3 linked regions of the Danio rerio genome follow. The protein of the gene in region 3 purifies or fractionates together with the protein of the main gene of each other region. This does not show direct contact. Links are inferred from orthologs where the notes say so. Each region holds a gene or a part of one and is shown on either strand. Other genes may lie near its edges.

Region 1 (4,089 bases), on a different chromosome or scaffold from region 3:
TTGTGGTGATGACATTGGCCTATGCTTGATATCAAAGAAACAATTGAATAATAACTTAATTCTAAAAAAGCTATCATAACATTATTTATCAATAAGCAGGCTCTTTTTAGATTCTCGTAAGCTATAAAAATTAAAAATGTAAAACAGAAAATACGTTGGAACATTTGTTTTTGTTTACATTCCTCAAAATGATCTATCGTCAGAATAAGAAGAGATCAGACAAACATGTTCTTATATTTAAATTATTCAAAATTGATCAGTAGTTTGAAGAATAGTGACAAAGGATATTTAAATGACAATTGTCAATAGGGGCTGCACTGTAATTCATAATATTAATAGTTTGATATGTCTTTAATAGTTTCTTGCAAATATGATTGACAGTTTACTGGTGTATATAAAATATTGTTAAACTAAAAGACATTTAAGTGGGTTTCTTGACAAATTTAGGTAATTATTACTACATAAAAATAATTTATATATAAATGTTTTTTCTAAAATATTTGGCTGATATGATAGATAGATAGATAGATAGATAGATAGATAGATAGATAGATAGATAGATAGATAGATAGATAGATAGATAAACATAAATATTTTTTTAAAAAGCAAGTCTTCATCCATATATTTGTAATGACACATATTTGATAATTAGATTGTAATATATGATGTTGAGTCATTCAGACATTTAGGATCGTGTCACTTACTTGAAGGTCTCCTCTATCTCTGTAACGCTGGTTTCCTTCTCCACCACCAAGAAATTGGGTTTACGGTTTTTATTGAGCTCTCCGATCCCTCCGAGGAGAAATCCGGTGCACGTGTCTTCATCACCGATAACTGCGATTAATTTTCCTCGTCCGGGCATCGTGACTTTGTCTTATATTTTGCTCAAATAAAAGACGCAGAATGGACGAAATGTTTTCCGTTCAGCAGGATCATATGCTTTAATCAGCTGACCACTTCACTTCCGCTTTGCGTAGTCGCGTAAGCGCCTTATTTAGCTGATCTGAGATCTGTGCTGCTCGCGTTAACGACCGACCTGTGTGCGGTGATTATGACAGCGAATCTGATCCTGATACAGATTATTTTTTGTTAAATGCGAGAACAGCGCATAAATCCTAGCAAATTAAATAAAAATCCGCCACGTTTTAGTCATACTAAGATTTTTTATCACATTTTGTACGTTTCCAATGCATATAAACAAAAATAATGTCGAATAAGCAAAACATCTCCTGGAATGACGTTATAAACACGCGACGCTTGATGTCAGTCACGTGAGGCGGGGTGTGAAGGAAAACAGCAGTGTACATTTATCTGCACTGTCTAAAATGGTAAATATAATTCTTACCTTTAAAATATTTGTTTAATTAAATGTTTTTTTTATTAAATGTTTTGTTTTAGTGCATTTAGAACTTATAAAACAAAGATTTTGTAAATAATGTGATTGATGATGCAGTCTAATATCATATGAGCTCTGTTAGTGTTTAATTACAGTATTATCGTGTGTTGAATGTCAGACTACTGCTTTGACTCAAGGCTTGGAGAGAATACCCGATCAACTTGGGTACTTGGTTATTAGTGAAGACGGAGTACTCGCGGTAAGCTGTTAAAATTCATAACTTACATTTTCGGAGAACTTGACATGAGGGTGAAATGCGTTGAAAAGAGAATCCTGATTTGGGCAAATGAGAAATAATTAATTAGAATTCAATGTCTGTCAGTCTTATTGTTCTGTCTGTCTCTGTTTGCCTGTCTACACTTTGAGGCAAAATTATTACGCCTCTACTGATACATATTATTTAAAAAAAAATTCCCAAGTTATGATGAACTGAGCAATGACATTTTCACAGTATTTTCTATAATATTTTTATTCTTGAGAAAATTTTTTATTTCTTTTATTTTGTCTGGAATAAAAGCAGTTTTTAAATAAAAAAATAACAATTTTAATAGGTTAATAGGCCCTTAGAACAAAATAATGGTATTCAATGACTTGCCTAGTTAAACTTATTAACCAAGTTAAGCCTTTAAGTTACTCATTAAGATGAATTCTAATATCTTGTAAAATAACTAGCAAAATATTATGCAGTGTTATCATGGCAAAGACAGATTCTGTTAAAAAATATATATATTACAACTATTATTTTTAAAAATGTGTTGAGAAATCTTCTTCCTTTTGAACAGCCTTCATGAAAATAAATTAAAAAAGGAAAATATTTATTTATTGCCAATAATTGTGCCTTTAACTGTATCTATCTATCTGTCTGTCTGTCTGTCTGTCTGTCTGTTGGACACACCTGGCTCAAGGGGTTATCTCTCTCTCTGTCTCTTTCTATATATTCGATAGGTTCTATGTTTTAATCATATAATCAATTTATCATTTACAGTTGAGTCAGAATTATTAGCCTTGCTGTTTAATTTTAAATCTTTTATATTTTTCCCCAATTTCTGTTTTACAGAGAGATTTTTTTTCAACACTTTTCTAAACATAATAGATTGAATAACTAATGAATTTCTTTTATCTTCGCCATGATGACAGTACATACTATTTTACTACATATTTTTCAGGATAATAGTATTCAGCTTCAAGTTCAATTTAAAGGCTTAATTGGGTTAATTAGGTTAAGGAAGATACTTAGTTTAATTAGTAATTTAATTAACAATAATTTGTTCTGTAGACAAGTTAAAAAAATATATTGCTTGGGGGGGGGGGGGTAATAATAATTGAGTTAAAATGGTATGAAAAGCTGCTTTTATTCTGGCCAAAATAAAACAAATAAGACTTTCTCCAGAGGAAACAATATTATATGAAATAATGTGAAAATGTCCTTGCTCTATTAAACATAATTTGGGAAATATTTAAAAAAGAAAATATCATAGGGGGATTAATAATGACTCCACTTGTCTCAGTTAAGCAGTAAGTGAATGTTTTTTGTAATCTACAGTCGGCAGGAGAGCTGGAGAATGACGAGCACACAGCAGGAGTGATCATGCAGATGGTCCGAACAGCTTGTCGCTTCAGATTACATGGGACTGCAGAGCCCCCATTCAAGCGCATGTCTGGTAAGAAACGCACTTCATTTTTAGATAAATGCTGAATGATGATAGAACAATATTTCACTCATATTTTGTCATTTAATTTTCAAAAAATGTGATGTGAATTATTAAAGTAAACATGCTTGTGTAACATCAGGTTTATGTAATATTCAGATATCACTGTAGTATTAGTGTTTATTTGTAACATTAGGTTTAAGTATTATCCAGATATTTTTACAGTTTGAAATAGTTTTTATCTTTACATTTTGTGTTTTTTCTATTTAAAGTTTAAGCAATTTTGTTATGTATTTCTATCAGTTGTGTTTTTAAATAGGTCTGTTTAAAAAAAAAAAGGTTTTATTAGTTTTTATGGTTTCATGTGTAACCATTTTAAGTCTTTTTTTATCCTCTTGATTTTGTTTAGGAACAAAATAGCCCTAATAAAATAAAATAACCCTCTTTAATTTGTTGTTTTAATTAAATTTATTCAATAAGAAATAATTGATATATGATCATTTACTATTTTACAGTAAATCATTTTTACTTGCTGTGAAAATCCATAACTTCCAAACAAATACTGATATTAATGTATATTTTTTTCTTTCCTTTTTTGTCTGATGTCAGTGATGTTTGAAGACTACGTCTATGCTGTGACCATCTCCGGACAGAAGGTTTTCGTAGTGAAAAGGCAGAACAACCAGCGGGAGCCTGTTATCGTGTAGTAAAGAGGATAATATGGACTGATCTTTCCCACTATTACAAGCTCAAAATGGTGCCCTCACATAAAAATGACCCCGTCTTTACAACCACCCGATGTTTAGCACAATCACACTCTCTTTCTTTCTTAAGGTGAAATTTTGCAATGTTTTGGGGGCCTTTTGGTGATGTCAGGTGTATTTGACCTGAGCCAAAGTAAGTTCATGTGTTTCTCTTATTAGATTATGATGTTACATGGTTCATCTGATTTCTTTTTTTTGGATACAGGATTAAATTGTTTTTATATTTTAGTCCCTTTCATACTTGAGTGGTCACAATTATAGTATTGCTGGACATCATTAT
Region 2 (4,129 bases), on a different chromosome or scaffold from region 3:
AGGAAAAGAATTCCTTAATTCAACTTTTTGCATAAACCACATTTTATTTATTGGAAAGTTTTTTATACACAAATGCAAATATACTCATTGTAAGCCTATTTTTTTTTTTTTTTTTAAACGAGAACTAGCTCTTTATTTAAAAAAAAACCCATCACAGACTCTCACAATAAGAAAGCTATTAAAACTTATAAAATATGTGCTTTATTTAATATCCTGCAATAATTTGTTTAATCTTTGTCATGTGCCCTTAATTATTATTATTATTTCTCTCTCTCTCTCTCTCTCTCTCTCTCTCTCTCTCTCTCTCTCTCTCTCTCTCGTTGTCTTTATTTTGATTTACCTATATTATATTTGTTCTAAATTTGTTACATTCCACTTTTTCAAAAAGTAATATTTCTATTGATTGTACCATACTTTCAGTTTTGTATCTGTATTTGTTGTAAAGTACTGTTATTATTGCAAAAAAAAAAAAAAAAAAAAAGCATGATGTTTCTTAAAGGTTTTTCATAAAGGTTTCCTAAAGGTTTTTCATACATATATATATATACATATATATACATATATATACATACATATATATACATACATATATACATTCCATATATACATACATACACACACTAGATATCGCATAGGGACCCTGAGCATGCGTCAATAGCGCCGCCACATTGGTACAGTGCTCCCAGTACAAATGTCATTCAACCGCACTAGTCAAGTCAGTGTTATTACGTGAAGATGCGGGACTTTAGCGAGCAAAACAGAAAACAAAGCACAAAGGCAGAACATTCCATAGGTAATAAAAAGTTTTTTCTGTTTTTGTATGTTCTGAACTTTTGTGCTAATCAGGTAACGTTATTGATGAAAACAGTGACTTACTGCATTCACCATAAGGCAAAGCAGCTCCAACTCGCTCCCGCTCCGTCAGTATGAGAAGTGAAAGCAGGAGAGGAGCTGTGTTTCAGGACATGATTAGATCAAATTTAACAGGGAGGGTGGATAGTACATTTCTGTACACACAAACACAAGCTTTTTGTCAGGAATGTGATGTAAAATTATAATTTTCGTAATTAGAAAAAAAAAATTACATACAACATCCAGGAAAACTCCCGATCATAGATATATGTGTATATCTCTGGCTTTGGATGGCCACAGTCCTCCACTGTACCTTGGTCCTGCATTCATTTCAAAGGAGCGCTACCCTGTAGCAAGATGGCGGCGCTATTGACGCATTCCGTCCAATAGACAACAATAGGCCAGGCGACATCTAATGTATATATCTATGAAGGTTTTTAACGGGTTTTTGGGGCGGAACTGACGTGCCAGTGTGGAGACGGAAGACACGTGACACGATTGGGAGTGCTGTCATGTGATGGTTTCTGCGTTTGCAGCAAATCTCTTCACAGCCAAGAGGCAAACACAACCTCAAAAACGCTCCTGAGACGAATAAAAAACCCAAATTCAGGATACTGAACCCGCTGGGCGGCCATCATGGGGTGCTGTTTCAGCAGCGACAGCGAGACGACGGATCCGGTAACTCAAAACACTAATAATGCAGCTTAATGTAGCGTCTGTAGTCCTGCAACAACATTTACTAACGACACACTTTCAATACAGTTGTGTGTTTGTGATTCAAGAACAGCTCAATACTGAGTGCTTGTCAAAACTACAACAAACTTAATCCACTAACGCTACTTTATTTATGTATATTTGATCATTAACGTGTGTTTGTAATGAACTGAAGCTGGTGTTTCGGTGGAGTTAGTCTTAAATTGGGAGTTTTGTGTTGGATGTGGGTCTAATGTGTCAGATCTGACATGTGCTAATGCTAATGTTTGGGGAAATGTAGTGTTAGGGTTTCCACAATGATGGAAAAGTTAAATATATTAGTGCATTTTAGGCCTGGGAGTTTTTATAACAGTTGTACGAAAATATGGGGAGTATTTATGATTTTATTGAGTGAAAAAGAAAAAAAATTAAGCCAATCGTGAAAAGGTTTATTAAATTAAAATGTGCAAATTTTGTTGGATTTACACTAAAAGTTAGTTTTATGCTGTCCAATGCTGAAAAATAACTTAAAATACCAATAATAATGCAGCTTAATGTAGTGTCTGTAGTCCTGCAACAACATTTACTTACGACACACTTTTAATACAGTTGTGTGTTTGTGATTCAAGAACAGCTCAATACTGAGTGTTTGTCAAAACTACAACAAACTTAATCCACTAACGCTACTTTATTTATGTATATTATATCATAAGCGTGTGTTTGTAATGAACTGAAGCTGGTGTTTCGGTGGAAATAGTCTTAAATTGAGAGTTTTGTGTTGGATTTGGATCTAATGTGTCAGATCTGACATGTGCTAATGCTAATGTTTGGGGAAATGTAGTGTTAGGGTTTCCACAATGATGGAATAGTTAAATATATTAGTGCAGTAATTCTCAAACTTTTTTCATCAAGTACCACCTCAGAAAAGATTGTTCCTCCAAGTACCACCATAATGACCGGTATTGAAATACAGTAGCGTAGTAGGCCCAGTAAAACAGCTGCAGCTCTGCACAGTTTAATAACGTGGTAAAATAACTACTACTATTAAGGATATTTATTATTATAAGCCACTTTAAACATTATAAATAGTAACATTAAGACTGTACTCTGCTTATATGTAAACAAACAAACAAAAAAATTAATGTTAACGTTTAAATTAATGTGCTTTTAAAGGTTTAATAAAAATGGTAGGTTACTGTCCTTAAATAGAAAAAAACTGCTGTACTTAAATGTAAAGTCCTATTTATCAAAACCTGGAAATGTTGCTTGGACCTCATAAATAGGCTATATGTCATCATATTCATATTCAAACCATTTTTGATAAATTTTGAAATATATGTTGCTTGTACGTGACATGTAGGATTCCTCTGCGTACCATTAGAAGGAAGCCTGCGTACCGCTAGTGGTACACGTACCACAGTTTGAGAACCACTGTATTAGTGGATTTTAGGCCTGGGAGTTTTTATAATAGTTGTACGAAAATATGAGGAGTATTTCTGATTTTAGTGAGCTAAAAAAAAAAAATTAATTAAGCCAATCGTGAAAAGGTTTTTAAATTAAAATGTGCAAATTTTGTTGGATTTACACTAAAAGTTAGTTTTATGCTGTCCAATGCTGAAAAATAACTTAAAATACCAATAATAATGCAGCTTAATGTAGCGTCTGTAGTTCTGCAACAACATTTACTTACGACACACTTTTAATACAGTTTAATGCAGTTATGATTTTAGTTGGTTTTAAATAATAAACTGAAGCCAAACGTGAAAATGTTTTAAATTAAAATGTCTAAATATTGTAGGGTTTGCACTAAAAGTTGGTGTTATGCTGTCCAGTACAGACAAATACCCAAAACACTAATAATGCAGCTTAATGTAGCGTCTGTAGTCCTGCAACAACATTTACTTACGACACATTTTTAATACAGTTGTGTGTTTATGATTCAAGAACAGCTCAATGCTGAGTGTTTGTCAAAACTGCGTCAAAATTATTCCAGTTACGCTACTTTTTTTATGTATATTTGATCATCAACGTGTGTTTTTTTAATGAACTAAAGCTGGTGTTTCTGTGGGATTTGTCGTAAATTGTGTTGGATTTGGATCTAATGTGTCAGATCTGACATGTCCTAATGTTAATGTTTGGGGATATGTAGTATTAAGGGTTTTCTCAATGATGGAAAAGTTGAATGTATTAGTGGATTTTCAGGTCTGGGAGTATTTATAACAGTTGTACGAAAGTATGAGGAGTATTTATGATTTATTTTTATATTGGGATATCGCCCACTCTTTTTTTCTATTTTTATTTAATTTAATTATTTTTCCTGGTCATTGCGCCTTTGCTGTGTACTGTGTAAATGCAGACAATCGGATACGAGTCCCTTTTAATTAATGATGTAAGCAGGTCATCAAAAAAATCAGATACAGTCACAAAATCGCAATTGACCATCAAGATCTGCAGCGTGAATGCAGCCTGTTAGCTTACATGAAAATAAAGTGGTCTTTCTGGGTGTTTGAACAGGATGTGTTGATGTTTTGGTCCTGCAGGATGGAGATGAGGTGAAGCCACTGATTCCTGACCCAAACCAAGA
Region 3 (3,656 bases):
ATCACAGAGCTTACACTACGCCTCGTTGCGATGTGTAATTACACTTTTTGAAAGGTGCACGTCAGCGACGCCAACGGCCACGGCGTAGGGCTATGCATTAACGCCGTAGCATACACGTGCTCTTGATGCAGAAGTATAAATCAGCCTCAAGTCAGAGCAATTAATAAATCAAGCCATTTGGATTGTGTTGAGTATCTTTGACCATGTAATGTAAATGATTATGCTTACAACTTCAGACTATTTTATACTAATAATGATAATAATAATAATGACTGCTCACCTCTCTCAGTTCCATTTGTGCCAAATGCATCTGATGTGTTGACATTGTGAACATAGTCTGTAAATGCAAAATATATAAAAGGTTATTCAGAAAAACAATTAAAAGGTTATTCAGAAAAACAATATTAGAATTCTAATTGGCAGTAAAACAAATGAGAAAGGGCAGGAAAAACAGTCACGTACTGAAAATGAATTTTCCCGTATTGAACAGGAAGTTAGACATGAGCACCCAGTAGACCACCATTGCACCAATCAGTGACACCAACGAGAAGACGAGACTGGACCATTTTCCGAAACCCCCAAAGTAATATTTACACACATCAGGAAACTCCCAGTCTGAGGTATCTACATAAGCTGCAAAGACACAGAGTTTCATATTTAAAAAAAACTTCATGTTAACTCTGGCATGACATATGAAAAAAAGACAAGCAAAAATGACATACAGTTAAAGTCAGAATTATAAGCCCCCTTTGAATTTTTTATTTTATTTTTTTGCTTTTTTAAATATTTCCCAAATTATGTTTAACAGAGCAAAGACATTTTCACAATTTTTCTGATAATATTTTTTTCTTCTAAAAAAAGTATTATTTGGTTTATTTTGGCTAGAATAAAAGCAGCTGTAAATTTTTTAAAAACAATTGTAAAGTCAATATTATTAGCCCCATTAAGCAATATATTTTTTCGATAGTCAACAGAACAAACCATCATTATAAAATAACTTGCTTAATTACCCTAACCTGTCTAGTTAACCTAATTAACCTAGTTAAGCCTTTAAATGTCACTTTAAGCTGTATAGAAGTGTCTTGAAAAATATCTAGTCAAATATTATTTACTGTCATCATGGCAAAGATAAAATAAATCAGTTATAAGAAATGAGTTATTAAAACTATTATGTGTAGAAAAGTGCTGAAGGAATCTCTTCGTTAAACAGAAATTGAGGATAAAATAAACAGGGGGGAGGCTTATAAATCTGTTTTAACAGTATGTTAATGTGTGTGTACAGTTAAAGTAAAACAAAAAAAATAGAGAGAGAGAGAGAGAGAGAGAGACATTGTTTGTTGTGTCTTTATAGATACATTAGTAGAATTGGTAAAATTGATTATGATGACTCTGTTAACATTTATTTTTAAGCATAAGCTTCATAGAAAAAACTTTAAACAGGTTTAAAACCGGTTTCTTTCCTTTGATCATGTTGATTATTCAGAGGCCTTAGAAATGTCCTTATCAAATCAGATAAAGTAGAAAGGATTGCAGAGGTAAACAAACCCCTCAAGAGTAATACACAACCACAATAGAGTGGAGGAACTATGACGTCAATTTGTAGGCAAAAATCCGGAAGCGAGTTAGCATTCTAGCAGTTCTGGTTGCCTCGTCCCAAAGTCGATGTTTTTTTTTTTCAATGGGATTTTGATTAAAAATCTCTTAAATGAGGTTGGTGGCTAACACAAACTTAAGATACTTTCACATTTTATTCTACGACATAACACATCAGTTGCATCACAGTCTTGATTTATTTATTTATTTATTTTTAAATCGGGACGCTTCTTTAAAAAGACGGTTGTTATCAAGTTGTGAAATGGGACTTCAGGAGATGTTGGAGACATTATACACTATTGAGCTGAACTGGTCTGAAACGCAGCCCGCTTGCATTAGACAATTGCATTTGTTTTGTTTCTTTAATGAATAGTTTGTAGTATTTTTCTTATTGGGAATTCACTTGTAGAGACCGTCACGTCAGATTCATTTGTTGATCATTTATTTTAATTAAACAATTTTATTAAGATACTGCTTACAGGGCAGCTTGTCTCTTTTCTGCTCTGATTAATGCAAATGTGTGAATAAATTAGTAAACATACACACATATTACCTGTCATTTTAACGTGATCAAGTGATTTTTCGAAGTTTTTTTCTTCATCTAAACACATTTAACTCTGTCATAACTGTAATATTTACACTCCTCCTTAACACGTATAAAAGATGTGACTGTATGGGCTGCTTTTCACTGTACTTTGTGACAAAAAATATTAAATGTGGTTCTGTGTCCATGATGGAACTTGCAGGCATATAGACTTATCCCTCACGACTCATAAGCTGGTCTTACTAAAGACGACAGAAATGTGTAAATGACATTTGTTTGACTTAAAAAAAAAAAGTAAGAAGAAACACTGGATTTGAACCTGGGTCACACTGTTCATCTAACAAAACAATACTATCTCCGTCAAAAAAAACAAAACAAAAAATAAAAATAAATAAATATCAGCTAAACTGGGAATGTTAACATTATAAATGAACGTGTTTAAGAGCTACACTGAATCACTCATGTATTGTGCGAAAAATGTACAAGCATGGTTGCAATTGGCTTACGAATTGATTTTGTGGACTTCAACACTCTGTAGCAGCAATAGAGCGTCAACAGGCCCATAAGAACAATAATGATAATGCCCAATGTAAAACCAGCCTAGAAAGAGAACAAATAAATTATAATAAATTACCTTTATTGTATAACTGGCAATGACCAAAGGAAATATAGGAGAGAAATATACACCTACTTGTTTTATTCCCCATGGTATACTTAATATAGATGTTCCCATCATGGTGTTCCATATGGCAAAGCTGTATACACACACAAGCACTCATTTAAACAAAGGTTTAATAACTTTAACATGGAAATGACAAATGCAATCTCTCTTGACTAAATAATTTGTAGGATTTAAAATTATGTAACACTTTGAAGAAAAAAAAATTATATATATATATAGGCGAGGCAGTGGCCCAGGGATGCTCATAATAACAGATTCATCATTAAACAAAAAGGTGCCTTTTGAATCCATAAATGAAATCAGTTAAACGATTAAAAAATAATTATATAAATATATACACATACACACACACACACACACACACACACACACACACACACACACACACACACACACACACACACACACACACACACACACACACACACACGCATACATACAGGGTGGGCCATTTATATGGATACACATATAAATAAGGAATAACATAAACTGGGAATGATTGCTGTTATTAACATCCTGTTTGTGGCACATTAGTACATGTGAGGGGGCAAACTTTTCATGATGGATGGTGACCATGGTGACCATTTTGAAGTCGGCCATCTTGGATCCAATTTTTGTTTTTTCAATAGGAAAAAAACTTTTTATTAATTTTCTTTATCCATATAAATGGCCCATATAACGTGTGTGTGTGTGCGTGTGTGTGTGTGTGTGTGTGTGTGTGTGTGTATGTATGTATATAAATTAAGTCATACTTTATTTTAAAGGTTAAATTCTCACTGTTACCAAAGCATTAACAGTTTTTGCCTGAAACTCCTAATCTGCTGCTTATTAACAGGT

The links.
Region 1: the proteins of slc38a9 (region 3) and lamtor4 purify together in Homo sapiens (affinity purification with mass spectrometry; 4 studies listed by BioGRID and IntAct, with this or other methods). This does not show direct contact. The link is inferred for Danio rerio from reciprocal best matches to the Homo sapiens genes SLC38A9 and LAMTOR4.
Region 2: the proteins of slc38a9 (region 3) and lamtor1 purify together in Homo sapiens (co-immunoprecipitation; 5 studies listed by BioGRID and IntAct, with this or other methods). This does not show direct contact. The link is inferred for Danio rerio from reciprocal best matches to the Homo sapiens genes SLC38A9 and LAMTOR1.

Annotation. Positions count from the first base shown.
Region 1 is NC_133179.1:20,644,657-20,648,745, forward strand, and holds the start of lamtor4 (ragulator complex protein LAMTOR4), read left to right. Parts: upstream 1-1,265; 5' UTR 1,266-1,325; coding exon 1,326-1,328; intron 1,329-1,478; coding exon of another isoform or gene 1,479-1,514; coding exon 1,515-1,595; intron 1,596-2,939; coding exon 2,940-3,057; intron 3,058-3,654; coding exon 3,655-3,752; 3' UTR 3,753-4,089. Other genes in the region: atp6v1f (V-type proton ATPase subunit F), read right to left, coding at 705-862. UniProt on the Homo sapiens protein: As part of the Ragulator complex it is involved in amino acid sensing and activation of mTORC1, a signaling complex promoting cell growth in response to growth factors, energy levels, and amino acids.
Region 2 is NC_133190.1:46,802,712-46,806,840, reverse strand, and holds the start of lamtor1 (ragulator complex protein LAMTOR1), read left to right. Parts: upstream 1-1,305; 5' UTR 1,306-1,488; coding exon 1,489-1,530; intron 1,531-4,085; coding exon 4,086-4,129. UniProt on the Homo sapiens protein: Key component of the Ragulator complex, a multiprotein complex involved in amino acid sensing and activation of mTORC1, a signaling complex promoting cell growth in response to growth factors, energy levels, and amino acids.
Region 3 is NC_133185.1:7,425,320-7,428,975, reverse strand, and holds part of slc38a9 (neutral amino acid transporter 9), read right to left. Parts: intron 2,893-3,656; coding exon 2,829-2,892; intron 2,738-2,828; coding exon 2,644-2,737; intron 634-2,643; coding exon 463-633; intron 338-462; coding exon 281-337; intron 1-280.